7 linked regions of the Macaca mulatta genome follow. The protein of the gene in region 2 purifies or fractionates together with the protein of the main gene of each other region. This does not show direct contact. Links are inferred from orthologs where the notes say so. Each region holds a gene or a part of one and is shown on either strand. Other genes may lie near its edges. The genes, in order: RTEL1, SLX4, PGAM5, PLK1, TOPBP1, KPNA1 and SLX4IP.

The links.
Region 1: the proteins of SLX4 (region 2) and RTEL1 purify together in Homo sapiens (affinity purification with mass spectrometry; 3 studies listed by BioGRID, with this or other methods). This does not show direct contact. The link is inferred for Macaca mulatta from reciprocal best matches to the Homo sapiens genes SLX4 and RTEL1.
Region 3: the proteins of SLX4 (region 2) and PGAM5 purify together in Homo sapiens (affinity purification with mass spectrometry; 4 studies listed by BioGRID and IntAct, with this or other methods). This does not show direct contact. The link is inferred for Macaca mulatta from reciprocal best matches to the Homo sapiens genes SLX4 and PGAM5.
Region 4: the proteins of SLX4 (region 2) and PLK1 purify together in Homo sapiens (affinity purification with mass spectrometry; 9 studies listed by BioGRID and IntAct, with this or other methods). This does not show direct contact. The link is inferred for Macaca mulatta from reciprocal best matches to the Homo sapiens genes SLX4 and PLK1.
Region 5: the proteins of SLX4 (region 2) and TOPBP1 purify together in Homo sapiens (affinity purification with mass spectrometry; 3 studies listed by BioGRID, with this or other methods). This does not show direct contact. The link is inferred for Macaca mulatta from reciprocal best matches to the Homo sapiens genes SLX4 and TOPBP1.
Region 6: the proteins of SLX4 (region 2) and KPNA1 purify together in Homo sapiens (co-immunoprecipitation; 3 studies listed by BioGRID and IntAct, with this or other methods). This does not show direct contact. The link is inferred for Macaca mulatta from reciprocal best matches to the Homo sapiens genes SLX4 and KPNA1.
Region 7: the proteins of SLX4 (region 2) and SLX4IP purify together in Homo sapiens (affinity purification with mass spectrometry; 6 studies listed by BioGRID and IntAct, with this or other methods). This does not show direct contact. The link is inferred for Macaca mulatta from reciprocal best matches to the Homo sapiens genes SLX4 and SLX4IP.

The regions. Positions count from the first base shown.
Region 1 is NC_133415.1:116,545,797-116,549,296, forward strand, and holds part of RTEL1 (regulator of telomere elongation helicase 1), read left to right. Parts: intron 1-720; coding exon 721-795; intron 796-910; coding exon 911-992; intron 993-2,731; coding exon 2,732-2,864; intron 2,865-3,050; coding exon 3,051-3,164; intron 3,165-3,255; coding exon 3,256-3,296; intron 3,297-3,416; coding exon 3,417-3,500. UniProt on the Homo sapiens protein: A probable ATP-dependent DNA helicase implicated in telomere-length regulation, DNA repair and the maintenance of genomic stability. Acts as an anti-recombinase to counteract toxic recombination and limit crossover during meiosis.
Region 2 is NC_133425.1:4,823,916-4,827,415, reverse strand, and holds part of SLX4 (structure-specific endonuclease subunit SLX4), read left to right. Parts: intron 1-2,046; coding exon 2,047-2,236; intron 2,237-3,135; coding exon 3,136-3,348; intron 3,349-3,500. UniProt on the Homo sapiens protein: Regulatory subunit that interacts with and increases the activity of different structure-specific endonucleases.
Region 3 is NC_133416.1:140,086,406-140,089,905, reverse strand, and holds part of PGAM5 (serine/threonine-protein phosphatase PGAM5, mitochondrial), read right to left. Parts: intron 2,231-3,500; coding exon 2,052-2,230; intron 143-2,051; coding exon 17-142; intron 1-16. UniProt on the Homo sapiens protein: Mitochondrial serine/threonine phosphatase that dephosphorylates various substrates and thus plays a role in different biological processes including cellular senescence or mitophagy. Modulates cellular senescence by regulating mitochondrial dynamics.
Region 4 is NC_133425.1:23,221,136-23,225,084, reverse strand, and holds the start of PLK1 (serine/threonine-protein kinase PLK1), read right to left. Parts: upstream 2,801-3,949; 5' UTR 2,390-2,800; coding exon 1,982-2,389; intron 1,243-1,981; coding exon 1,074-1,242; intron 323-1,073; coding exon 178-322; intron 1-177. UniProt on the Homo sapiens protein: Serine/threonine-protein kinase that performs several important functions throughout M phase of the cell cycle, including the regulation of centrosome maturation and spindle assembly, the removal of cohesins from chromosome arms, the inactivation of anaphase-promoting complex/cyclosome (APC/C) inhibitors, and the regulation of mitotic exit and cytokinesis.
Region 5 is NC_133407.1:36,675,406-36,678,905, reverse strand, and holds part of TOPBP1 (DNA topoisomerase 2-binding protein 1), read left to right. Parts: intron 1-999; coding exon 1,000-1,192; intron 1,193-3,198; coding exon 3,199-3,419; intron 3,420-3,500. UniProt on the Homo sapiens protein: Scaffold protein that acts as a key protein-protein adapter in DNA replication and DNA repair. Composed of multiple BRCT domains, which specifically recognize and bind phosphorylated proteins, bringing proteins together into functional combinations.
Region 6 is NC_133407.1:161,329,039-161,332,538, reverse strand, and holds part of KPNA1 (importin subunit alpha-5), read right to left. Parts: intron 393-3,500; coding exon 267-392; intron 1-266. UniProt on the Homo sapiens protein: Functions in nuclear protein import as an adapter protein for nuclear receptor KPNB1. Binds specifically and directly to substrates containing either a simple or bipartite NLS motif.
Region 7 is NC_133415.1:73,400,844-73,404,343, reverse strand, and holds part of SLX4IP (protein SLX4IP), read left to right. Parts: intron 1-2,434; coding exon 2,435-2,535; intron 2,536-3,500.

The sequences.
Region 1 (3,500 bases), on a different chromosome or scaffold from region 2:
ATGCATGTTGGAGTCAACCTGTCTGCTTCCTTTAAAAATCTTGCTGTGATTTTGACTGGAATGTGTGGAATTCCTGTGTTTTTGAGTCAGTGTCTCTCTGTTGCCCAGTCTGGAGTGCAGTGGGACCATCACAGCTCACTGCAGCTTCAACCTCCTGGCCTCAGGGGATCCTCTCAGCCCAGCCTCCCAAGTAGCTGGGACCACGGCACGTGCCACCACGCCCGGCTAGTTTTCATATTTTTTTGGTGGAGACCCCGGGGTTGCACCATGTTGCCCAGGCTGGTCTCGAACTCCTGGGTTCGGGCAGTTCGCCCCTCTCGGCCTCTCAGAGTGCTGGGATTACAGGCGTGAGCCACTGCACTAGGCCATGTTGAATTTCTAGATTAATTTGGGACCCTTAGGGGCACAGAGAGGAGGGCTGGGCCAGCTGGTGGGAGGAGAGGCCTCTCGGGCTGCCGCGTTTCCAGTGCACGGAGATGGCCTGCGTAGGGGGAACAGAGCTCACCGGGGGTCCCTCCAGGGAGGAGAAAGGGTCAGGCAGGTGCCAGCTCCTGTCCATCAGCCTGGGGCTGCATGATGGCAGGGGCTGGTGAACCGATGACCTCTGGGTGTCCTGTGACCTTCCGTGTGTGGGGCTGATGCCGCAGAAGATCAGGTGGCCTCCAGGGCTCTGGGCTCTGGCCTCAGGCTCCTCACGGGACTGCACCTCCTCTCTTTCAGATTGTGTTTAGTGTGGACCCCTCCGAGGGCAGCCGTGGTTCCCCGGCAGGGCTGGGACCCTTACAGTCCTATAAGGTAGGGGCCACCTCCAGGAGGCAGGTGGGGCTGGGGGTCCTGCAGTCCTGAAAGGTAAGGGGCTGCCCCCAGGACATGGGTGGGGTCTCCACACTTCTGGTCCTGTCCCCTCCAGGTGCACGTCCATCCTGATGCTGGTCACCGGAGGACGGCTCAGCGGTCTGATGCCTGGAGCACCACTGCAGCCAGAAAGCGAGGTACAGACCTGGGCCCACACTCTCCCCGCCCGCCCGGGTGTGGTGCTCAGCACCAGCATGCCACAGGCTAGGCACGTGGCCAGCCGTGGGTCTCCTGCCCCCCTGGGCCTGGCCACCTTCTCCATGTCCAGGCCAATCCAGAGCATTCTCCTCACTGTCCCTCTGAAGGCTGGAGTTACTGAGAGACATGGGAGAGGGCCTGATGGCACCGTGACCTGCCCAGAGTCACCTGGTTGGTGGCGGCAGAGCCACAGCTCAGCCAGGCCTTCCTGCTGGGACACACTGGTTTATGCCAAGGCCGTCAGCACGGAGCCCCACAGTGAGGCACAGCTTTCCCTGCTGCCTCCACCCAGCGCCTGGCTGGGCCAAGCCTCAGGGTCTCATCTGAAGGGGGCCCGACTGGCCCTGTTGTCCGAAGCCTCTGGTGCGCTCGGCCCTGAGGCCCCACGTGCCTTGTTGGCTTCCTGTGCTCTGTGGCGTCTTCGAGTCGGTGCTGCCGGGTACCTGTGTGGATGGGGCCCGTGAGTGGGCCCTCGGCTCCGTGTCCAGAGTCCTGTGGTTCTTGGAGTGTGTCCGGCCCCACCCGGCCATGTGGTGTCCAAGGGGGGCTTTGTGGCGGCAGCGGTGGGAGCTGCTGCCCCTTCTCGTGCTCCAGTGGGGCCTTGCCTCTGGGCTTGGTTCGTTCCTCTCTGGAACGTTCTTTCTCAGAGCTCTCTGGCCCGCGGTGGCACGACGTGGCCCTGGCTGAAGCAGCCCCCGCGTGGTTGCTGTGGTTGGTCTGCCTGGCCGAGCCGGAAGGGGAGGGCCGGGAGGGCGTCAGGGTTGCGTGGCTTGACCCCCGGTCGGTGACTCGGTGATGGCCTCGTGGCAAGGCGTCTCCCGGCAGGAAGCGTCCATCCTGGGGGGTCGTGGGAGGCGGCGCGTGCCTGAGGCAGCTGGCGCACAGATCCTGAGGGCCTGGAATCTATTTGTTCCATTGACCTGTGACGTCACTTGACTTCTGAGAAGCAGCCGCTCCCTGCGTTGGGCGTTTGTAGGAAATGAGCTCCTGGAGGTGGAGGTCGGGAAGTTCCCCCGCTGCAGGGCACGCTCAGCCCCAGGAAGCGGAGTGACCTTTGCTGGGAGAGGTGCCTTGTCCCTGCTGACCCCGAGTCACAGTCAGCGTCGTTCTGCTTGTGCCGTGTTTAATTCCTGGTGTCCGGTGCCCAGGCTCAGTCTCCTCCCCAGGCCGCGGCCGCTGCGGTCAGTCAGTCAAGCACTTCTAGGAACTTCCTTTGAACCGGTGCCCTTGTTCGCTGCTGACGCCACTCGGAGGCTTCCTGGCGGAGCGGGGAACTCGCACTTCCTCTTGTGCGCGTCCCTGGAATGTCGGGACGCTGGCGCTTGCTTCCCGTGCGCTCTTGGCGGGATGAGCTTGCCCTGAGCTGCATGTCACCGTTTCTGCAGAAGTTTAGGGTTGGAGTGGGCTGACCTCTCTGGAGGTGTCCCCAGCATCTGCCTGGGGTCTGCCTCGTACTCCCGGGACCCCCAGTCCCCCAGAGGGGACCCCAGCTGGCAGACTGCGCTCACACTCAGGGCAGCCTCCTTTGTTCTGAATTCTGCACGCTGGGCCTGGGTGGCTGTGGGCGGCTCACTTGCTTGATGCCAGTGGGTGAGAGGGTGATGGGCAGAGAGGCAGGCGGTCAGGCCCCCAGTCCCGTCCTCACACCCTGTGTCCCCTGCTCCCCTCCGCCCCACAGGGAAGGTGTTGAGCTACTGGTGCTTCAGTCCCGGCCACAGCATGCGCGAGCTGGTCCGCCAGGGCGTCCGCTCCCTCATCCTTACCAGCGGCACGCTGGCCCCGGTGTCCTCCTTTGCCCTGGAGATGCAGATGTACGGGCCACCCCTGCCAGGGGCCTAAGCACTGGTGACGCCTGTGACGTTAGTGGGGTGGGAGTGCTGGGGGTCCCCATGAGCCGGGGTGCTGGGGGTCTTGGGCCTCACTGGGGGTCTCGGGCCTTGAGGGCTAAAGGGGTGCTGGTGTCCTTCCCCACTGTCTGTCCCTCCGGCCATGCTCAGCCCTTTCCCGGTCTGCCTGGAGAACCCACACATCATCGACAAGCACCAGATCTGGGTGGGGGTCGTCCCCAGAGGTCCCGATGGAGCCCAGCTGAGCTCTGCGTTTGACAGACGGTGAGGGCCTGTCCCTGGGCCGTGCTGGGGTGCGAGGTCGGGGAGTACTGAGCCCTGAGGCCCTGAGCAGTGGCCTCTCGGCTCTGTGCAGGTTTTCTGAGGAGTGCTTGTCCTCCCTGGGGAAGGCTCTGGGTAAGTGCCCGGCACACCCCAGCTGTGCCCATCCTGGATCCTGGACCCTGCTCCCAAGAGCTGGTAGGGACCCCGGAAGACGCCCCGCCCCTGCCCTGACCCCAGCCCCTGCACTTCCAGGCAACATCGCCCGCGTGGTGCCCTACGGGCTGCTGATCTTCTTCCCTTCCTATCCTGTCATGGAGAAGAGCCTGGAGTTCTGGC
Region 2 (3,500 bases):
CAGGATGGTCTCGATCTCCTGACCTTGTGATCCGCCCATCTCGGCCTCCCAAAGTGCTGGGATTACAGGCTTGAGCCACCGCGCCCGGCCAACTTTTTTTTTTTTTTTTGACAGAGCCTTGGCTAGAGTGTAGTGGCGCGATCTCGGCCCACTGCAACCTCGGCCTCCCAGGTTCAAGCTATTCTCGTGCCTCGGCCTCCTGAGTAGCTGGGATTACAGGCACCCACCACCACACGCGGCTAATTTTTTTGTATTTTTAGTAGAAATGGGGTTTCGCCATGTTGCCCAGGCTGGTCTTGAACTCCTGAGCTCAGGCGATCTGCCCTCCTCAGCCTCCAAAAGTGCTAGGATTAGAGGTGTGAACCACTGCACCCAGCCCCATGACAAAAACTGAGTTTTTGAAGAGGCTAGGCTAATTGTATTATAAGATTTCCCACTCTCTGGATTTGTTTATTTCTTTATGGGATCCTTTAACTCCTTCCTCTAACCCTTGGGTTGCCCCGGGTTGCCCCACTCTGAGTGGATTAGAGGCTCATTGGCTCCAGGTGACAGCGTGTGGAGACAGTGCCCCATAGCTGCTGTGCACTTGGTGTAGCACCAGCTCCATAAGCATAATAATGCCAGGTGCTTCTGTTCTCCATCCTTGAAACAATATGGATTCTCATTTCTGATGAAAATTTACAAAGGGAAAAGAAATAGGAAGAAACTATTATTGGCGGACCTAGAGCTAATAAGTATGCAGGCTCTTGGCATTGCATTGCAGATTTCACTTCAGTAACACCGAGGAGTCTCAGGCCGCCCCAGGGTCCACAGCAGGCAGTGATTTGATGTCCTGCCGAGGCATCAGTCCTGGATGCACATGTGAGGTGTAGAGGAGGCACCCAGCTGGTGTGAGCTCCGCCCCTGCCCAGCATTTGACTCAGTTCTTTCTGTATCTTCACATCACACCCAGCAAGCTCTCAGAAAGAGATAAACCATTTCTTTGTTAAGAAACCAAACCAGGCTGGATGTGGTGGTTCACACCTGTAATCCCAGCACTTTGGGAGGCCAAGGCAGGCAAATCACCTGAGGTCAGGAATTCAGGACCACCCTGGCCAATATGGTAAAACCCCGTCTCTACTAAAAATTAGCCAGGTGTGGTGGTGTGCACCTGTAATCCCAGCTACTGAGGAGACTGAGGCAGGAGAATCACTGGGACGTGGGAAGCGGAGGTTGCAGTGAGCTGAGATCGCGTCGATGCACTCCAGCTTGGGGACAGAGTGTGAGACTGTCTCAGGAAAAAAAAAAAAAGACGACCAAACAAAACAGGGCACCAAAATGAAGGTGTGCTGTTTTGCTGGCCTCAGTGGCAGGCACTGGTAGGCCACAGCCATCAAAAACTTGGGGGTTTATGAGGCGTTCAGGGCGTATCCCTTGTGAGTGACAGGGGTCTGCTCCAGCAATACCAGATGGGCCACCCTGGGAGCCATCTCAAGACCAGAATCAGTCCATTCTAGCGTCTGATGCTAAGTAAGAGATGCTGCTTTTTAACCGCCAAGGGCATTTCACTCTGCCCTGGTTTTATCACGGGCAGTAAAAGGTCAGCAGGAAAGGTTGAGCTTCGAAGAGAACATCTAGCTTTGTTGGAATATGAGCCTTGTGAACCTGCAATGCCCAAGGTAGCTGACTTTAGCAGAAGTGGGGAAGTGTAGGTCCTTGCTACTCAGAGTGGTCCTGCGGTGCCAGCATCGCCAAGCCTGGGGGCTGCTAGGAAGGCGGAGAGTCTCAGGCTGCACCTGGACCCCCTGAACTTGAATCCGAGTGTCGACAAGCTTCCCAGGCAATGCATATGCATGTTAAAGTTGGAGATGGCTGTTGCAGAAGTGCTGACTAGTGCCCAGTCTCACTGGACAGTGCCTGAGTCACCGGTCTGCAGAGTGGAGCTGGGTTCTGGTTTATTTGTGCTCCCCCTGCTCCCCATGGTCTGCAAGAGCCGACAGAGCAGAGGTCTGAGGGTGAGCTTGTCTTTGGAGTTGATCCTCACGGATCTTTGGTGCTTCTCCACAGTGTTTGGGCTTGGGCCCCCTGCCCCAGAGAGCGACGCTGCGGTGGCCTTGACCCTGCAGCAGGAGTTTGCACGGGTAGGAGCATCGGCACATGATGATAGCCTGGAGGAAAAAGGGTTGTTCTTCTGCCAGATTTGTCAAAAGAACCTCTCAGCCATGAACGTGACCCGAAGGGAACAGCATGTAAACAGGTGGGGGCAGCGTGGGCCGTCACCTCTCCCGTGTACGTGACCAGAATCCCCGGGCACCCCAGGGCTGGAGTGGGGATCTCCACACCTTACTGTGAAAATAGCACCTCAGCTTTGTTGTCAACCTACCCCTTTTTAAAAAATAACTTTGTTGAGATATAAGTCACAGAACATATAGTTCACCCATTTATTCACACAGTTGTGCAACTGTCACCACAATCACTTTGGATTATTTTCATCACCGCCAAAAGAATCTCCACACCCATTAGCAGCCACTCCCTATTGCCCCTCTCTCCCCTGACAACCACTAATCAACTTTCTGTCTGGATGGATTTGCCGATTCTGAAATTGCACAGTTGTCCTTTTGTGTCTGCCTTCTTTGACTGAATATGTTGTTTTTGAGGTTCATCCATGTTGTAGCATGGGACAGGCTTCATTCCTTTTTGTGGCTGAGTAGTATCTCATTGTATGGATAGACTGTGTTTTTTTCCCATTCTTAGATGAGGAATATGACCGTGGTTTATCCTTTCATCCATTGACTGACATTTGGAGCATTTCTACCCTTTGGGATTGTGGATAGAGCTGCCGTGAACATGGGTTTCATGTATTTGTTTGGGTACCTGCTTTCAGTTCTTGGGGGTCTATACTTAGGAGTGGAATTTCTAAGTTATCATGTAACTGCATTTAATCTTTCCTTGCTTTATTTAGCCAGCTTTGCTAACAGATACCTAAGTGTAGTGACTAGGGGCTGACTGCCAGGAAACGGAGTCAGGCTGTGTGGAGGGATTAGCTTTGGGGAACTTGCTTTGACCACAGCACATCCATGATGACCTAGACCCACATGTGCTCCAATCCACATTCCCGGGGAGGGTGGTTCTCCTGTATTAACTGTCTTCCTTCAGGTGCCTGGATGAAGCTGAAAAGGCACTAAGACCTTCCGTGCCTCAGATCCCTGAGTGCCCGATTTGTGGGAAACCATTTCTGACCTTAAAGAACAGAGCCAGCCACTTGAAGCAGTGTGCTGTGAAGATGGAGGTTGGCCCCCAGCTCCTGCTGCAGGCCGTCCGGCTGCAGACAGCACAGCCTGAGGGGAGCAGCAGCCTGCCAGTGTCCAGGTGAGTCAACGAAAAGGAAGAAAACCAAGCCAAATATTGCTGTGTGCACTCAGGGCTTTTTCTATTTAAAAAAGCTTTTTATGGGCCAGGCGCAGTAGCTCACACCTATAATCGCAGCACTTTGGGGGAGGTCAAGGTGGGCAGATCACCTG
Region 3 (3,500 bases), on a different chromosome or scaffold from region 2:
CGCACCCCGCACTTACCTGGCAGGTGCCGGCTGATGATATCAGTGGTCTCTATGGCGCGCGTCATGGAGGAATGGACGATTTTATTAAACTTCAACCCCAAGCTTGCGAGGCGGAGCCCCGTGAGTTCAGCCTGCTCCCGACCTGGAGGGTGAAACACCTCAGTGCCGCACCCGCACCCCCTCCGCCGCCCGCAAACGCGCCCTCCTCCACCCACAAGCACGAGCCCGCGTCAGGCAGCAAGTGCATCCCGTGGCTCCTGCTCTCCCTAGGCTTGGGCCTGAGGGGCTGGCACTCAACTGTCTTCACCCCCATACAGGAAAAAGAAAAGCATCCGATTCCATCAACTGCAGGAAATCGGACAGTGGCTGGTGGTTTGAGTCCCCTCGTCACCGTCACTTAACTATGCCCAAAACCTGAGCCTCAGGGTCCACCAGGCACACGCCATGACGGAGGCCAACACAGCAGGACCTAAACACCCCGAGCTGCTACATGGGGCCGGACACCAGTGCAGACACCTTTTCTCTTGTGAGCTTTGGCATCCAGGTGGAAAGGCCCTCGGGAAGGCCGAGTCCACTGGATGCAGCCACAGCTGCGTCTGTCACTCCACTTTCTTTGTATACAAGCAGCCGGGACAGTTCTGGGGGCTGAGGGAGGCATCTGTGGAGGACAGCCCTGCACATTTTTACCATTTGAACTTTTAATATGTGCATGAACAGACACTATCCCATTTAAAGAACTTTTCAAAGTGTAAACTCTACCTTAGCCTACCCCACATTTCCTTCTCTAGGCATCTCTCCTACAGATCCACCTGCACAGGAACACAAGGACAGGGTGGAAGGACCCTCCTGGGCGCTGTCTATGCAGCGTCTGCCAGTGGGGACAGGCAGGATCGTGTCGCTCAGTCCTGCCTGTTCAACAGGGCATTGAGAGACAGATGCCAGGCTGAGCGCGGTGGCTCACACCTGTCATCCCAGCACTTTGGGAGGCCAAGGCGGGCGGATCACGAGGTCAGGAGTTTGAGGCCAGCCTGGCCAATATGGTGAAACGCTGTCTCTACTAAAAATACCAAAAAAAAAAAAAAAAAAAAAAGCCACCTGTGGTGGTGGGCACCTGTAATCCCAGCTACTTGGGAGGCTGAGGCAGAATTGCTTGAACCCATGCAGTGGGCCATGATCACATCTGCACTCCAGCCTGGGCAACTGAGCAGGACTCTGTCTCCGGAAAAAAAAAAAAAAAAAAAGCAGACGCCAGGCAGTAGGCCTGTGAGTGCAGAAGAGAAGGGTCTTTGGCAGCAGGTCCAGGTGAGCAGCTGAGCGCACAAGCTATGCGGCTTTCCAAGGCGTCGAGCAGGCACAAAACCCCTGCTAGGATATGTACCAAATTTGGTCTCATGCAAACAAGATAGGTCCAACATTTGCTAAAAGGTAAAGACTTTTTTTTTTTGAGACTGAGTCTCGCTCTGTCACCTAGGCTAGAGTGCAGTGGTGCAATCTTGGCTCACTGCAACCTCCACCTGCCAGGGTCAAGCAATTCTCTTGCCTCAGCCTCCTGAGTAGCTGGGATTACGGGTGCCTGCCACCGCACCTGGCTAATTTTTGTACGTTTAGTAGAGACGAGGTTTCGCTGTGTTGGCCAGGCTGGTCTCGAACTCCTGACCTCGGGTGATCCGCCTGCCTTGGCCTCCCAAAGTGTTGGGATTACAGGTGTGAGCCACCGCGCCTGGCCAAGGTAAAGACATTTTTAAAAGCTTGTCTTCTATCCAAGTTCAGCGGACAGTTACTGGTAATGTCAATGTGTGATTCAGGGGTGATGGCCTCAGACATGGGCCCCAGGAGACCCAGTGCCCCAAACACTTTCAAGAAAGCTGACTGGGGGGGTCTGCGGAGGAGCTGCATCACGTAACCAAGGCACCAGCAGAGGATATGCACCTGGCCACATCCCCAAGGGCGTCCCTGGAGGGTCTGACCCCGTCACCTCCCCAAGGGTGTCCCCGGAGGGTCTGACCCCATCACACACAAGGGAGTCACAGAGGGTCTGACTCGCCACATACCCAGCGGGGTCAGAGTGCGGTCCTTCTCCAGGGAGCCATCCACATGGTACTGGGAGTGCCTGATGAGGAAGATGTGCCGTGTGGCCTTGGCTTTGTAGTGGTCCAGCTTGGACGCCAGCTCTTCTTCCCCAGATTCCACATTCCTCTTCCGCAGGTTGATCAGAGAGAGCGGTTCTCGCCTGATGTTGAAATACAAGATAGGTCCTTGTGACCTCTGTTCCCAAGTTTGAGTTTTTCTGACAAGATGTTATTTCCAGATTGTCAAACTATTTGGGAAGAGCATGGAGAGAAGACAAGGACCTCGACACAGCCCTGGGGAGGCCTCTCTGAGCATACCGCTACTCTCCCTCCCACAAAGCTAGTTCCAGGCCTGTTCTGCATTATGTGCTGGAAAGCAAAACAGATAAGCAAAGCCCTGTGCATCTTCTCTAATAAGGAGAGGCAGACAGTGAACAGCAGGAGACAGACCACCCAGAATGCACCTGTGGGTATGGAAAAGGAAGGAGGACAGCGGCTATGGGTGGGCAGGTGGAAAGTGTCCGCGGGACCAGGACAGCCTCCCTGACCATGATGCTTCAACAGAGCCTAGAACTTCAATGCCCAACAGCAGCCACCAGCTATGAGGATGTTTCAATTAAAAATTTAAGCAAAATTAAATAAAATTAAAACATCATGTCCTCAGTCATACTAAACACATTTTAGACCCTCAGGACCGGGTGCAGTGGCTTACACCTGTAATCCCAGGATATGGGAGGCTGAGGCGGGCAGATCAACTGAGGTCAGGAGTTCGAGACTAGCCTGGCCAACATGGTGAAATCCCATCTCTACTAAAAATGGAAAAAATCAGCCGGGCTTGGTGGCACAGACCTGAAATCCCAGCTACTCGGGAGGCTGAGGCAGGAGAATCGCTTGAACCCGGGAGGCGGAGGGTGCAAAGAGCTGAGATTGCACCACTGCATTCCAGCCTGGGCGACATAGCGAGACTCCACCTCAGAAAATAAACAAACACTCAGCAGCCACATGGGATAGTGACTATCACATCAGACAGTGAGGAAGAAACCATTCCCATTATGAAGTCCTGTTCCGGAGCTGCTGGAATCTGAAAAAGCGGATCCCGGCATTTTGGGAGGTCAGGGTGGGCAGATCACTGAAGCCCAGGAGTTCAAGACCAGCCTGGGCAACACAGGGGGGCCCCGTCTCTACAAAAATATTAAATTAAAAAGTTAGCTGGGCAAAGCGGTCCGCAGCTGTAGTCCCAGCTGCTCAGGAGGCTGAGGTGGGAGGATCACTTGAGCCTGGGAGGGAGCCATGATCTCGCCACTGCAGTGCACTGCGCTCCAGCCCGGGCAACAGAGCAAGACCCTGTCTGAACAGCAACAAAAAAAGTTCAACACGGCAGAGCTGGGAAGAGCAGAAGTGGAACCTGCTGGTGTTTACTCAGAGACAGTG
Region 4 (3,949 bases), about 18 Mb from region 2:
ATACACCAGTGACAGGGAAAGATATGGCAGTTAGGCTTTGTTTGGGGGTAACCTGTCCCCTGCAGTAGGTTTGCTGTAAAGCAGGCCGAAAGGTCCACAGAAAAGGTCAGCCAGGTAGGATGTCCCAAAGTTGCCCCTGCTGAGACCAGGTAGATCCAGAGATAACTCCCAACTTACATGATACACCCAATAGACCACACATCCACCTCGAAACTGTGCCCTTTCTTGCTCAGCACCTCAGGAGCTATGTAATTAGGAGTCCCGCACAGGGTCTTCTTCCTCTCCCCGTCATATTCGACTTTGGTTGCCAGTCCAAAATCCCCTGGGACAGAGGGAGGAAGAGCGGGTACTTAGATGCCAGCCTCTGCCATCTGTCAATGCAGAAGGCTAGTTAAGGTTTGACCATCAAGAACCAGGGCCATTTGATCCCACAAGCTTCTGCTCCTTGTACGCAGCAAGGCTTGCCCAGGAATCTTCCCGCCATGCTGACACCAGGGAGGTGCCTCCAGTGACCCTTCTCACCCCTCCCCTTAGAAAGGGGCTATACTTCGAAACGGGAACTGGCAGGGATAGCAAAACTCCAGTGCCTTCAAGGATCAAGCAAGTTAACCTCCAAGACTTGGCAAGTCTGTGAAGAAGTAATAGGGAGGAGTAGAGACTGTGGCAAACAAGTCTGAAGGGGACAGCTGCTTTCCAGCCCAGCAAAGGACTGCCCTAAGAAAATGCTGTCCTCGTATTACTGGAGCTTTCATGACTGTTTAAAAGGAGCTCTAAATCAAAATTTTTATGTCAAACCTTCCAATTTAAAAAATAAAAACAAATTCAAATTCTTTGTAAAAAAAGAAAAATGCTGTATTGGGGCACAAAAAATAATGCATCTGTAGGCAAGATACTGACTTGTGGGTTCTTTGTTTGAAATTTCTGGACTAAAGAGAGAATTCTAGAGGCAATCAACAGCCCAAACTTCCCACCATCCTCTTCCTTCCTCCTGGTCTCCTTCCTTTCTCCCAGCCTCCTCCAAATTCCAGCCTCTTGGAGTGATGTCAAGCACCCCTGCAGGCTCAGCAACTCACCTATTTTCACCTCCAGATCTTCATTCAGGAAAAGGTTGCCCAGCTTGAGGTCTCGGTGAATAACTCGGTTTCGGTGCAGGTACTGACAGCCAAGCACAATTTGCCTTAGGTAGTATCGGGCCTCAGGCTCAGTCAGGGCTTTCCTCCTCTTGTGCAGCTCCAGGAGAGACTGTGGATGGGAAGGAGAGGGCAGGAGGGATGGGGAGGTGGTATTGAGGCCGGTGGGGAAGGGAGAGGGTTACCAGGCAAAGGAAGCACAGGACTGGACTCTGGACTCCCAAAGGATGAAAGAGGGGTCTTGGTGGGTTTCTCTCCTTCCCTATGCCCCCACCCCATTCCTTTTCCAGGACAACTGGCATCTGGACCCTGCCTTAACACTGTCCACAACCATTCACAGCACCCCTTCTCCTACTAGCTTTCTCCCTTACCTGGGGGTCCTCTCTCAGCCCCACTCCGGAAGTCCCCAGCAGCAGATCCCTTTCCTGACTCTTATCTCCCTCGGAAGGCCCGAAGTCTAGCTCCAACTACCCCCTCACTGACCCAGCTACACTCCGGAAGCTCCCAGTGCCCGGCATCACTAACCCGGGACTCCTCCCTGGCCACTCCAGGGCCCTAGCGTCCATTACCAGCACCCCTCCCCCCAAGTACCTCGCGTCCAGAAGCTGACCTCCCTATCAGCAACATGACTCAGACTCCACTTCACCGGAACCCCGTCCTCCAGCAGCTCCAAGAGCCAAGAAGCCCTTACCAAAGGCACTTTCCATACCTAAGAGGGAGGCTCCCAGCACCCTTCTCTAGCAGCTCCAAGTCCCAGGTACTCCCTTCCTGGGCACTCTTTCCAGCAGCTCCAGGTCTGGGCGCTCCAACTGCCCCGCAGGCAGTTCCAGTTAACCAGCAGCGACACTCACCCTCCGGCGGCAGAGCTCCAACACCACGAACACGAAGTCGTTGTCCTCGAAAAAGCCGTGGAATCCTACGACGTGCTGGTGGGCGAGGCTGCGGTGAATGGATATTTCCATGGACATCTTCTCCCTCTGGTGCGGCTTAAGCAGCAGAGACTTAGGCACAATCTTGCCCGCGAACACCTCCTTGGTGTCCGCGTCCGAGATCTCGAAGCACTTGGCAAAGCCACCCTTGCCCAAAAAGCGGCCCCGCACATAGCGCCGCCGGCTGCGTGGGTCCACTAGGACCTCCGGGATCTCTTTCGCCGGTGGAGCCGCCGCCGGAGCTCCAGGAGCTGCAACTCCGGGGACCCCGGCTTTCCCAGGGTCGGCCGGTGCCCGTGCCAGCTTCCCTGCAGTCACCGCCGCACTCATGCTCCTGGAGCTGCTCTGCTGACCTGGATCCGAGCAGACGCTCCGCACCGCTCAGCTCCTCCCCGAATTCAAACGCGGCGCTGGGAACGTTACAAAAGCCTGCGCGCCACTGATTGGCCGCGGGGATTTAAAATCCAAACCCGCCCGCCGCGCGGCACCATGGGAGCGCCCTGCGCAGCAGCTGCCTTTAAACCCGGACCCAGCCGGGGAAAAACTTGATTGACAGGGACGCCCGAACACGTGGGATAGCCTGGGAAACCAAATCCGGCGTGGATGCGGAGACCCAGCCCCGAGAGGGGAGGAATTCCTTCGGGGTTTCTCCCTTTCTCGGGCGTCCGGGAAAGCTCCTGCAGTTCGCTTGCGCCTCCTCCAGGAAGCTTTTCCTTAAATCTTCCTCCACCTCCACCCCACCTAGAATATAAGCAATCTAAGAGTAGGGAACTGGCATGCCAGCAGGTCGTTTAAGAAAGCCTTAGCATCCGCCTCCCGATGCCGTCAGCTCTCAGCCAAGCCACCCGAACTGAACTAAAATCTAAGTAAAAGTGTGCTTGCCAAACATACCTTCATGGCTAGTCTGCTCCTTCAAATAACTGCCGCTTCTGAGCTCCTCCGGATTACAAAGCAACGCTGCTTAAAGAAGGGGCCATGGAACAGCAGCATCGCCATCACCTGAGAGCTTGTTAGAACCGCAAAGGCAAACATTCAGGCCCTACTCCAGACCTCCCGAGTCAGTGTCCGCCTCTCAACAAGACTGCTCAGGTGATTCCTACACATCCTGAAGTTGGAGAAGCACAGTACCAGAGTCCTCCATGATGCAAGGAAGCTGTCTGGCCTGCTCGCTACTGAATTTCCCAGGGCCTAAAATAGTGGACACTCAGTTTCTTGGTCAGAGGGACGGAAGGTTGGAAGAATGCCTAGCAAACTGGCAGGTCATAGCCAAATGTGTCTTGCAGGGTTTTGTTTGGCCTCCCACGTGTGTGTGTGTGTGTGTGTGTGTTTTGTTTGGCCTCCCACGTGTGTGTGTGTGTGTGTGTGTGTGTGTGTGTGTGTCGGAGTCTTGCTCTGACACTGCAACCTCTGCTTCCTGCGTTCAAGCAGTCCTCCCGCCTCAGCCTCTCAAGTAGCTGGAATTACAAGCGTGCACCACCGTGTGTGTGTGTCGGAGTCTTGCTCTGACACTGCAACCTCTGCTTCCTGCGTTCAAGCAGTCCTCCCGCCTCAGCCTCTCAAGTAGCTGGAATTACAAGCGTGCACCACCATGCCCGGCTAATTTTTGTAATTTTAGTAGAGAAGAGGTTTCACCATGTTGGCCAGGCGGGTCTTGAACTCCTGACCTCAAGTGATCTGCCCACCTCGGCCTCCCAAAGTGCTGGGATTACAGGCATAAGCAGCCATGCCCGGCCATTGTAAAACATTTACAGCATTTAAAAGAGGAGGTCATAAAAATTTGGATTTGTGGCCTTTCCTGAAAAAAATCAGCTCTAGCTACTTAACTCTGTGCCTACATGCTTTCAGTTTGCCACAGTTCCCATTTACACCCCTTTGTTCTTTTTTTTTTTT
Region 5 (3,500 bases), on a different chromosome or scaffold from region 2:
TATATTTTGTGGTCTGTGTTTTCAAGAGCCTTTAGGGAGTCTAGGCACAGTGGCTCACACCTGTAATCTCAGATCTTTGGGAGGCCAAGGCAAGAGGATTGCTTGATGCTAGGAATTCCAGACAAGCCTGGGCAACATAGTGAGACCTTGTCTCTACAAAAAATTTAAAAATTAGCCAGGCTTGGTGGTGTACAACTGTAGTGCCAGCTACTCAGGAGGCTGAGGCTGGAGGATCACTTGAGCCCAGGAGTTAGAGGTTATAATGAGCTATAACCATACCACTGCAGTCCAGCCTGGGCCACAGAGCAAGACCCTGTCTCTAGAAAATTAAAAGAATCTTTGGGAAAAATCAGACACATGCACAAATGACTGTAATGCATCTCAGAGTGTAGTATATACCATAAGAGTTAGAAGCAGGCAGGGAGCTTTACAGAGGGATAATCACTACAGGTCTTGATGAAATGTCTTTGAAGGGGGACAGGCACAGTGGCTTACGATGTAATCCTGCACTTTGGGAGGCTGAGGTGGGCAGATCACCTGAGTTCTGGAGTTCAAGACCAGCCTAGCCCATGTGGTGAAACCCCGTCTCTACTAAAAAATAGAAAAATTAGCCAGGCATGGTGGCAGGCACCTGTAATCCCAGCTATTTAAGAGGCTGAGGCAGGGAGAATTGCATGAACCTGGGTGGTGGAGGTTGCAGCGAGCCGAGATCGCGCCACTGTCCAGCCTGGGTGACAGTGCAAGACTGTCACCAAAAAAAAAAAAAAAAAGTCTTTGAAGGGCTTCCTAGTTACTTCATATACAGTGCTTGTGGTAAGGGCTGCTTTTTATGTTCTACAGTATTCATAGTCTTAGTACATTACTATAGCCTGTAGTTAGTATTCAGTAAATGTTAAGTCAATAAGTTTGTGTTCAACCAGGTCTAAACAAAATAGTTAATGTAAGATATGGTCAGAAAGAGAAACTTACCTTGAATGGTGTATTTGTGTTTGTTTCAAGTTCTGACACAGACCTTAGAGATGAGAGAGAACTTTCAGAAGCAGTTACAGGAGATAATGTCTGCAACATCAATAGTGAAACCCCAAGGGCAGAGGACTTCCCTTTCAAGAAGTGGTTGTAACAGTGCATCTTCAACACCTGACAGCACTCGCTCTGCTCGCAGTGGACGAAGTAGAGTCCTAGAGGCACTGAGGTGTGTACCTGTCACTGATGGCAGAAAAACTAGATGACTTGAGAGAAAGGATTTATGCACCTGCTGCTGACTCAGTTCCATGAGCTTGGCCTAATTTAGTTTAGTTTTGTTTTTTTCCCCAATATGCAGTAAAAGCAGAAATGTAAAATATCAAGACTAGTGAAGGGGTTATACGCCTAGGCCTTATTTAGCCCAAACAATAAATATTATATTCCAGTATTATCTATTGCTTTTGGCTCTCTGCTGACTAGATTTTTCGTTCTAGCTTGTCCTTCCGTCCCTTGCTCCCAGCAGTTCTAGACTTCTTACTCGGAGGTGGCAGCAGACATGGAGGTTTGTCTTACAGCAGCACCTGCTTCACAGTGAGGCATGATTGATACTTTTTATTATCTCTGTTGAGAAAGAAATGATTTTCAGATCTAATTTGCCTCAATGGATTCAGTAGGCAGTTCTCTCTGTCTACTAATACACTAATATTGAATAGTATTTGTATTAAACAATAAGTACATATATTTTTTTTCAGTCTTTTTCTAATGCAATATATAAAATTTTAAAGTTATTTTTGTTGGAATTTTGCATGCATTTTGTATTTTGCTTGTAAAATTTATCTTCTAGAAAAGGTGATTACAGTTTTTAGTGTGATGTGACTTAAGCTCAGTTGCATAACTTCATCTTTTTCGTGATAGAAGAAAAAATCTATAATTGTGTGATAAGAATTATGGAACTTGTATTTTCAATTGACTAATTGAATTAAGTATAAGATAAACTAGCATTTATCTTATGCTAACTGTGTATTACATGAGGCAGTTCATTATGTCAGTACTGAGTAAAGTAGCTTTTTAATATGCTTCAGATCAAGTTTTATCATTATAGAGAACCTAAATCATGTACCAAATCAGAGTAAATAAATATACTCTGAGAACAAAAGACTATATTCTTTATTTTTGAAGCAAAGGAAGTCTTTTTTTTTGGCAGGGGGCGGGGGGTTCCTTTGGTAAACTGTTTTATGGGTTTTGGTGGTTTTTTTTTTTTTTGAGACAGAGTTTCACTCTTGTTGCCCAGGCTGGAGTGCAGTGGGGTGATCTCGGCTCGTAGCAACCTCTGCCTCCCGGGTCCTGGTTCAAGCAGTTCTCCTGCCTCAGCCTCCTGAGTAGCTGGGATTACAGGCATGTGCCACCACGCCCGGCTAATTTTTGTAGTTTTAGTAGAGACGGGGTTTCACCATGTTGGCCAGGCTGGTCTCGAACTCCTGACCTCGTGATCCGCCCGCCTCAGCCTCCCAAAGTGCTGGGATTACAGGCGTGAGCCACAGCACCCGGCCTGTTTTGTTTTGTTTTGTTTTGTTTTGTTTGCTTCTCCACAGTATAAGTTTTATGGTAAATTATTTTTACTAAGAATGATTGAGTGAATATAAAGAAAATTACAGGACTTCTATTTACTGTCACGTAGAATCATTACGATTGCACCATAAAATGCACTTCCCTGTAATTCAGCATATTGCTTTTCTACCATAGACTCTGGAAAGTGGTTACCAATAGCCAAAAGGCTCTTCTGATAAGGCAGCCTTTATTGCCAGCCTCCCTCGTAATCATAGTGCTTATAATTTCAAGTAATTAAAAAATACAACTACTGTTAAGTAAAGTAACCATAGTGTTTGAAACATTGTATAATTAAGGAAAATCACATTTTTAAATGTACCAATTACTTTTGTATTTTTAAAAAATTTCTTGACAGTATTGAATTTCTCCTTCGAAGTTTTAGTTCTGTAGACATTGAGTCAAAATATGTGTTCCTAGCGTTTTATACTTTTCTGGAAGAAACCTTAAACCTTTTTTTTTAAAAAAAAAAATGTCCCTAGGGTCATTTATTTAATATTTTTAATGCTTACTGTGTGCTAGATGATGGCATATAAAGGTAAGCCACAACTTTTATGGGCTAACTTATGGATTTAATGAGTTTGGATTTGTTATTGCTGTTTATTTAAAACTGTCACTTTTATTCCTTAGGCAGTCTCGTCAAACAGTACCTGATGTCAACACAGAGCCTTCCCAAAATGAACAGATCATTTGGGATGACCCTACAGCAAGGGAGGAGAGAGCAAGACTTGCCAGCAATTTGCAGTGGCCTAGTTGTCCCACACAATACTCTGAGCTTCAGGTTGACATTCAAAACTTGGAGGATTCTCCTTTTCAAAGGCCTTTGCGTGATTCAGAAATTGCTAAACAGGGTAACAAGAAAGAAATCTTTGCATTTGTTTGTATTAAGTACATGTTGACCTCTTAAAAATAAACAGATGAGCATGTTGTTG
Region 6 (3,500 bases), on a different chromosome or scaffold from region 2:
CGTAGCTGGGACTACAGGCACCTGCCACCACGACTGGCTAATTTTTTGTATTTTTAGTAGAGACAAGGTTTCATCATGTTGACCAGGATGGTCTCGAACTCCTGACCTCAAGTGATCCACGGGCCTCAGCCTCCCAGAGTGCTGGGATTACAGGCAGGAGCCACTACACCCAGCCGAAAACAATATATGTTTTAAAGGGTGACTGAGAAAAAAACCTTACTTTTCAATAAAAATACTGAAAGAAAAGTTAGGTCCTATGAGGTTACCTGGATTTGTGCCCTATTTCCAGCTGTAATATTAGATATCGTCCAACATGCTTCCTTTTTGATAGATTCCTTTGGGCTACTCAGCAAATGCAATAAACTCTGCAGAGCTGAGCAATTCAGAATTACCTAAAAGAAAAAGTTTGAAAATTTTACTTATTGTATTGTTCTAAATATAAATGTTTAACTTAAAGAACAGATTTTATGAAAGACATAACATCTCCCCTTGAAATTTTATAAATAAGTAACTTTATACAGGTAAAAAAAAAAGTATTCACTGTTAATAAGAATTAGTTTCTAAGATTATCAATCCAGTTTCATTGTACACATTCACAACGGCTAAATTGTACTTAGTAACTGCAATAGCATTACTCATTCACCTTCCCATCCCAACAGCGTAAGTCTTCTGAATGGATAAATAAATATATCAAGTGGCCAGAAAAGTCAGGAGTCTCAGATTTGTAGGTCCTCTGATAACACACTACTTGGTAGTCAATGAATGAATACGTACTTAATGAGGTATATCAGGTGCTTCATAGGATACAAAGATAAAAAAGATATGACCTCAGCTATCAGTTTATAAAGGTGAAGGAGGTAACACAAATACACATGGAGAAGGAGACTTACTCTACTAGAAACAAAAATAAAAAAAGTGTGATTAAGATAGTATATGGCAGGTTTAAGAATTAATCACTAAACAAAGAGAACAGAGATCTATTCTAAAAACAAATGCAGCTATGTATAAAGTTTATAATAAAAATTAACCCTTTCTCCCAATGACTGGTGGCTTTGACAGAACTGGAATAAAAAGCTAAATAGATTAAAAACAATTTTTTCAAAATCAGTTCTTAACACTGATATGGTTTGGATCTGTGTCCCCACCCAAATCACATGTCAAATTGTAATCCCCAAGGTTGGAGTGGGGCCTAGTGGGAGGTGACTAGATCATGGGGTGGATCCTCCAAGAATGGTTAGCCATGGTTCTGTTCTAGTATGGAGCACCTTTCCCTACTCCTTGCTCCTGCTCAGGTCACGTAAGACATGCCTGCTTTCTCTTCACCTTCCGCCATGACTTTAGGTTTCCTGAGACCTCCCCAGAAGCAGAAGCTACTATACACATTATGTATGGCCTGCAGAAACATGAGCCAATTAAACCTCTTTTCTTTATAAACTACTCAGTCTTAGGTATTTCTTTTTCTTTTTTTTGAGACAGTTTCACTCTTGTTGGCCAGGCTGGAGTGCAATGGCATAATCTCTGCTCACCACAACCTCCGCCTCCTAGGTTCAAGTAATTGTCCTGCCTCAGCCTCCTAAGTAGCTGGAATTACAGGCACGCACCACCATGCCCAGCTAATTTTGTATTTTCAGTAGAGACGGGGTTTCTCCATGTTGGTAAGGCTGGTCTTGAACTCTTGACCTCATGTGATCCACCTACCTCGGCCTCCCAAAGTGCTGGGATTACAGGCGGGAGCCACTGCACTCGGCCAGGTATTTATAGCAGTGAAATAACAGACTAATAAAAACCCTAAGTTGCCAAAATAAACTTGCAGCTACTTAAGAGTAAATATTTTTAAAAGGAATCATAAAGCAGAATATTAGAAAATAGCTGATTTGGGGATGGTAAAAGACTGAGCATAAAAATAAATTATAGGAGAAAACAAAAATTTCATGAAACAAATGTTTTCTTGTCAAAAATCATAAAAGATTTTAAAAATGTACACCATCCAATGTGAAAAATATTTGCAACAAATGAGAGGGTTGCTATCTTCCTTGTGTAAACTGAAAAGAGAAACTAAAATTTTAATAGAAAATTATCTCATAAGTAATGAAAGAAATGCAAATTAAAATCAAGTCTTTTATGCCTATTAAATAGGCAACAGGATTTCATTAGCAAAAAGGAGAACTGACACTGCACATAAGAAATGAAAAAATGCAGAGACAAGCTATTACAAAGTATCATAAGAACAGACTACTGCGGCTATTTTCATTTTAAGAAACAGTATGGTTCTATCACTAAGGCTGGAGTGTGGTGGCATGATCATAGCTCATTGCAACCTCAAACTCCTGGGCGCAAGCAATCCTCCTACCTCAGTCTCCTGAGTAGAGTAGGTAGGACTACAGTTACATGCCATCATGCTCAGCTAATTAAAAAAAAATGTTTTTAGAGATGGGGTCTTGCTATATTGCACAGGCTGGTTTGGAACTCCTGGGCTCAGGCAATTCTCTCACCTCAGCCTCTCAAAATGCTAGGAATACAAGCATGAGCCAGCATACCTGGCCATGATGAGGCTAATTAAGAAAGAGTTCTATGCCCCAAAAATAATAGGCTAGAAAGAAGAATGAGACTAAAATCTTACGGAGAAATTCCTTTGAATCTTTTCAAGGTTCTTTATCTTACAGGCACTAAAGCAGCTTATTGTTTCTAAAAGAAGATAATGTAAATAACATTATTTCAGGAGAGATTCAGTTGTTATTAGGGGGAATAAACTGAGATGAGTAACTGCTTAGGAGAGTAGGAGGATGGGTGGGTACAGCAACAACCTGTGTGTGTGACAAGGACCAAAAGAACGTAATTTGATGGGGATCTAGTAACAATAAGAATCAAGAAGACCTGGCAACTTGCTATACAAAGTAGAAGGGAAGAAGACACCACATGTGACTGCCAAGTTTCATGTGTAGGTAAATAGAATAGTTATATCATTACTTGAAATAGGAAAAATAAAAACTTGGAACTTGCTTTGTGGGGGAAAGAAGACATACTGCGAGACGTATGTGAGATATGCAAAGCAAGCAGAAATATGTAAGAGACTACTGCAGATATAGGACTGAAACGTGAGATAGATCGGAACTAGACGTATAGATTCAGAACTTCGTTCCATTCAATAAATATTCTTTAGGTCCCTATATATTGTGCCAGAAATTATTAGATTTACAGAGGCACAGAAATAAACACTGACATAATCTACCTCTAGAATCTTAAAATCTAGTAATTAGTTACAATACAATGTGATTAGTATTCTGATGGATGAAGAAAAAAGAATAAGTACCTAACTTAAAAGTTTAGGGTCAAACAAGCATTCTCAGAGAAAATAATGATAATACCAAGAATTCAAGAACAAGAAAACATTAGGAGTAGAGAATATGGATATGTGTGAGGTGGCAGTCAGAGCAAGGGGTAGCAGTGAAGGCATATGTTCCAGGCAGAGGGAATAAACCATGTGTTAAAGCTCAGAGCTG
Region 7 (3,500 bases), on a different chromosome or scaffold from region 2:
TAGGAAATCCTGTTCCCAGGTGATAGCTGCTTCCTAAGGAATACTTGTTTGGGGGCAGGGGAGAGTGGCACTGGAGGCTTTGATTTAGAGACAAAGGGGAGTGAATTGACCCTAGAAATGTTAGAGTAAGAGATTTCTAATGAGACCTGACAGCTCAGGGGCTGAAGAGGGAGTCTAATCTTTTTTTTCCTGCCCACCCAGTCTTCATACAAATGTAAATATGCCTCCTTCAACAAATTGCCAAATGTGGTTTTAATTTGTAAGCAGGAGACCCCGCCTTGCCTTTCTCTTTTTCTTTTCTTTTCTTCTCTTTTTTCTTTCTTTCTTTTTTTTTTTTTTTTTTTTAAATGAAAACTAAGTCACAGATTTTACACTTTTTGAACAGGACATTTCCTCCTGTCACTCTGTCACCTTTTCTGTTGTCCCGTTTCTTCCAAGGACATTTTCCCTCATTGTTGTCAGAGGAATTTGGGATGAGAGCCGACTGCTCTGCTTCTTAAAGGAGTTTTTGAAGTTCCCAAAGGAAATGCATAGTGCTCTTTAAACTGAATTTATAAAATAAATAAATAAAGGCAGTGATTGAATTTAATACGAGATTTGAAGAGAGTGTCACTATCGCAGCATAATACTTTATGTGGCATATGCAGTATTCATTGTTGTTATTTATGACCCTGTCTGCCTTGCATTGTGGATTTCTTCCAGCCTTGGGGAATTTACATCATTCCTAATAGCAAAAGGCTTTCTGGTTCCCACAGAGTTGTTCAAAGCCTGACTCATGCTCCTTATGTTAATTGTTCAGCTCTGAAAATACAGCACTTTACAGGGTGTGGTTGTAAGGGGAGATTCTACTGTACTTATAGGGCATGTTTAGAAGTGTTTCACACATAAATCTCGATTCCTCTCTCTCTCTCTCTCTCTCTCTCTCATTTGAATTTTAAGATGTCACTCATTTTGGCCAACTAGTAAGTCTTAGAAAACAAACCAAAAAAAAGGGAGTATAATCCAGTAAAACATAGAATATTCTGTTCACTAGCTTAAAACTCACTTGGGTTATAACCAGATATGACTTTGAATGACACTGGCCCAGGTCTGAGATGGATAGGCACAACTGAAGAGCATGGAGAGCCCATCCTCAGTGGTGCAGGGCAGTGATTAGGCAAAGCACATCCCCTCAGCCTGTAGGGTAACCAGGCGTGGTACTCATGGCTGCCACCCACCAGGTGCTCTGGGGCTGTCACTGCTAATTCCAGTGTCGTTCTAAAGCAAGGACCTAATGACAGTTTACTAAAGCTGTTTCTGGTGGTAGCAACATTTTATTGGAATTTGATGGGGAAGAATACTTAGTGTCTCAGAAAATGAGAGGAGTTAATACTCGTCTGGATTATGTACTCGATAACCAAAAGGAGAAGAGATTCCAAAACTATGAAATGGGTTAATGTTGGCAAGGTAGGTAGGCTTTTACATTTTATAATTACTTCCTTATGATGCTTCCATGGGAACACAAAAGGCTAGATAGGCAGATAATCTATGAATTATATAAAACCAGAGTGGTGGTTAGTATAAGGAAAAAAGTCCCGAATTTTTTAGTAGCCAAGAATCACAAACTCCAGTTTTCAAAATACCAATATTAAAATATTTGACTATTGCTACGGTCTTGGGTGTTACAACTTTTTTTTTTTTTTTTTTTTTTAGACGGAGTCTCACCCTGTCACCCAGGCTGGAGTTCAGTGGCGCCATCTCAGCTCACTGCAAGCTCCGCCTCCTGGGTTCATGCCATTCTCCTGCCTCAGCCTCCTGAGTAGCTGGGAGTACAGGTGCCCACCATCACGCCTGGATAATTTTTTTTTTTTGTATTTTTAGTAGAGACGGGGTTTCACCATGTTAGCCAGGATGGTCTCGATCTCCTGACCTCGTGATCCGCCCACCTCAGCCTCCCAAAGTGCTGGGATAACAGGCGTGAGCCACCGCGCCCGGCCACAAAATATTCTTTATTTTTGCAGATAGAGAAAATATGGGGAATTCTTAGGATGGTAAGGGTGTAGACCACTGTGTCACCAGGTCTTGCTGGAAGAACGGAGCTCACAGGCACGCTGCCCCACACAGTAGGATTCTGGGGCTTTTGTCACAGCCTGGGCCTCACAGTTACCAGATATTGGCCAAGACTTCCCAGATGGTTTGGAATCAGCATTCTTTGCCTTACAGTTTTGTATGTTTATGGCACATATTAATGTTTGAAATGTAGACTGGGAGTCCAAAAGAAGTTACAATTAACCATAAAGTTCTAGGTAAAAAAGGTTAAAATAGCTTACCACTGAGCAGTTTCATTCAGTCTTTACAAAAATAAATGTGTTCATTGGGCATTCAGAGTGTAACTGTTTTCTCTCATGTTCAGCTAATAGATTTCTGGTTGAACCTTTGTTATCTTTTGGAGTAGACAGAAAGAGTTCTCCATGGAGTGTCTGATTACTTTGCTGAGTGTGCAGAGAGTTCACTTCCTCCCAGTGCAAAGCTCCGGAGAAATGCTCTGAAAGAAATGTAGGTGCAATGTGTTTCCTTTTTCTCATTTGTGACTGCCTCTATGTATGGATAGATAACATGAAGTCCAGAATTAAACAGAGTGCCTGGAACTGAAGCACAAACTCCCCTCCATCATGTACTTGCTCTCCCCTCCCTCCTGACTCTCTTGCTTTCTGGACAATAGGGATAGAGTCCTTGCTTCACAGGTGTGTTGCAAGGAGTAATTAATGACACGTTCTTTGAAGATGAAAAGCACCTGTTGGTGGTGTGTTTCATACCACTTTCAGAGGGACTACAGACAGATCTAAAAAATACATTCCTTTCCTAAGATCCTTGTTCCGACTTTAATATAATTACAATAATCCTCATACTCCTGGTGTCAACAGTAAGAACATGAGTATTATATGTATTTGTTTTCACACTGAAGCTAGCCAAAATAAATATTTCAGCTTTCAATGTTTTGGTGGTTGAGGAAATTTCTTGCCATTCACAGACCTGTAAATATATGCTGAAGTTAAGATCTGTAGTCTCTAATTCTCCCTGTGCAACTTCTATCCCGCCCCTCAAAGTTCATTTTATCATCAGAGTGAAGTTACATTGTCTGTTGTGCATGCCGTTAGAAGCAAGGGGCTTATATACAGCTATATCGACACTCTTTTGTCTTCCACGATTGCATTTTATTGCCTTTCATGCTGGCTATCTGGAATTTCTTCCAGGACATTTCAAATTATATTAACTAAGTCCTACTCCCATTTGTTGATCAAGTTTGATCAACAAACATGACACCAGCTAAGTGGTGGTTGTATTTGGGTAATACCTTGAAATAGCCTGAGAGAAATTCCAGGAGATTATTCTTTACTCACAAGTAGAAATTGTGTGTATGTGTACATTTGTGTTCACAGAACCTGAGTCTACTCCTGGAAAAAAAAAAAAAAAAAAGTCAGCATATAAGCAGTACTGACCCTTAACATCGGAAATGAATA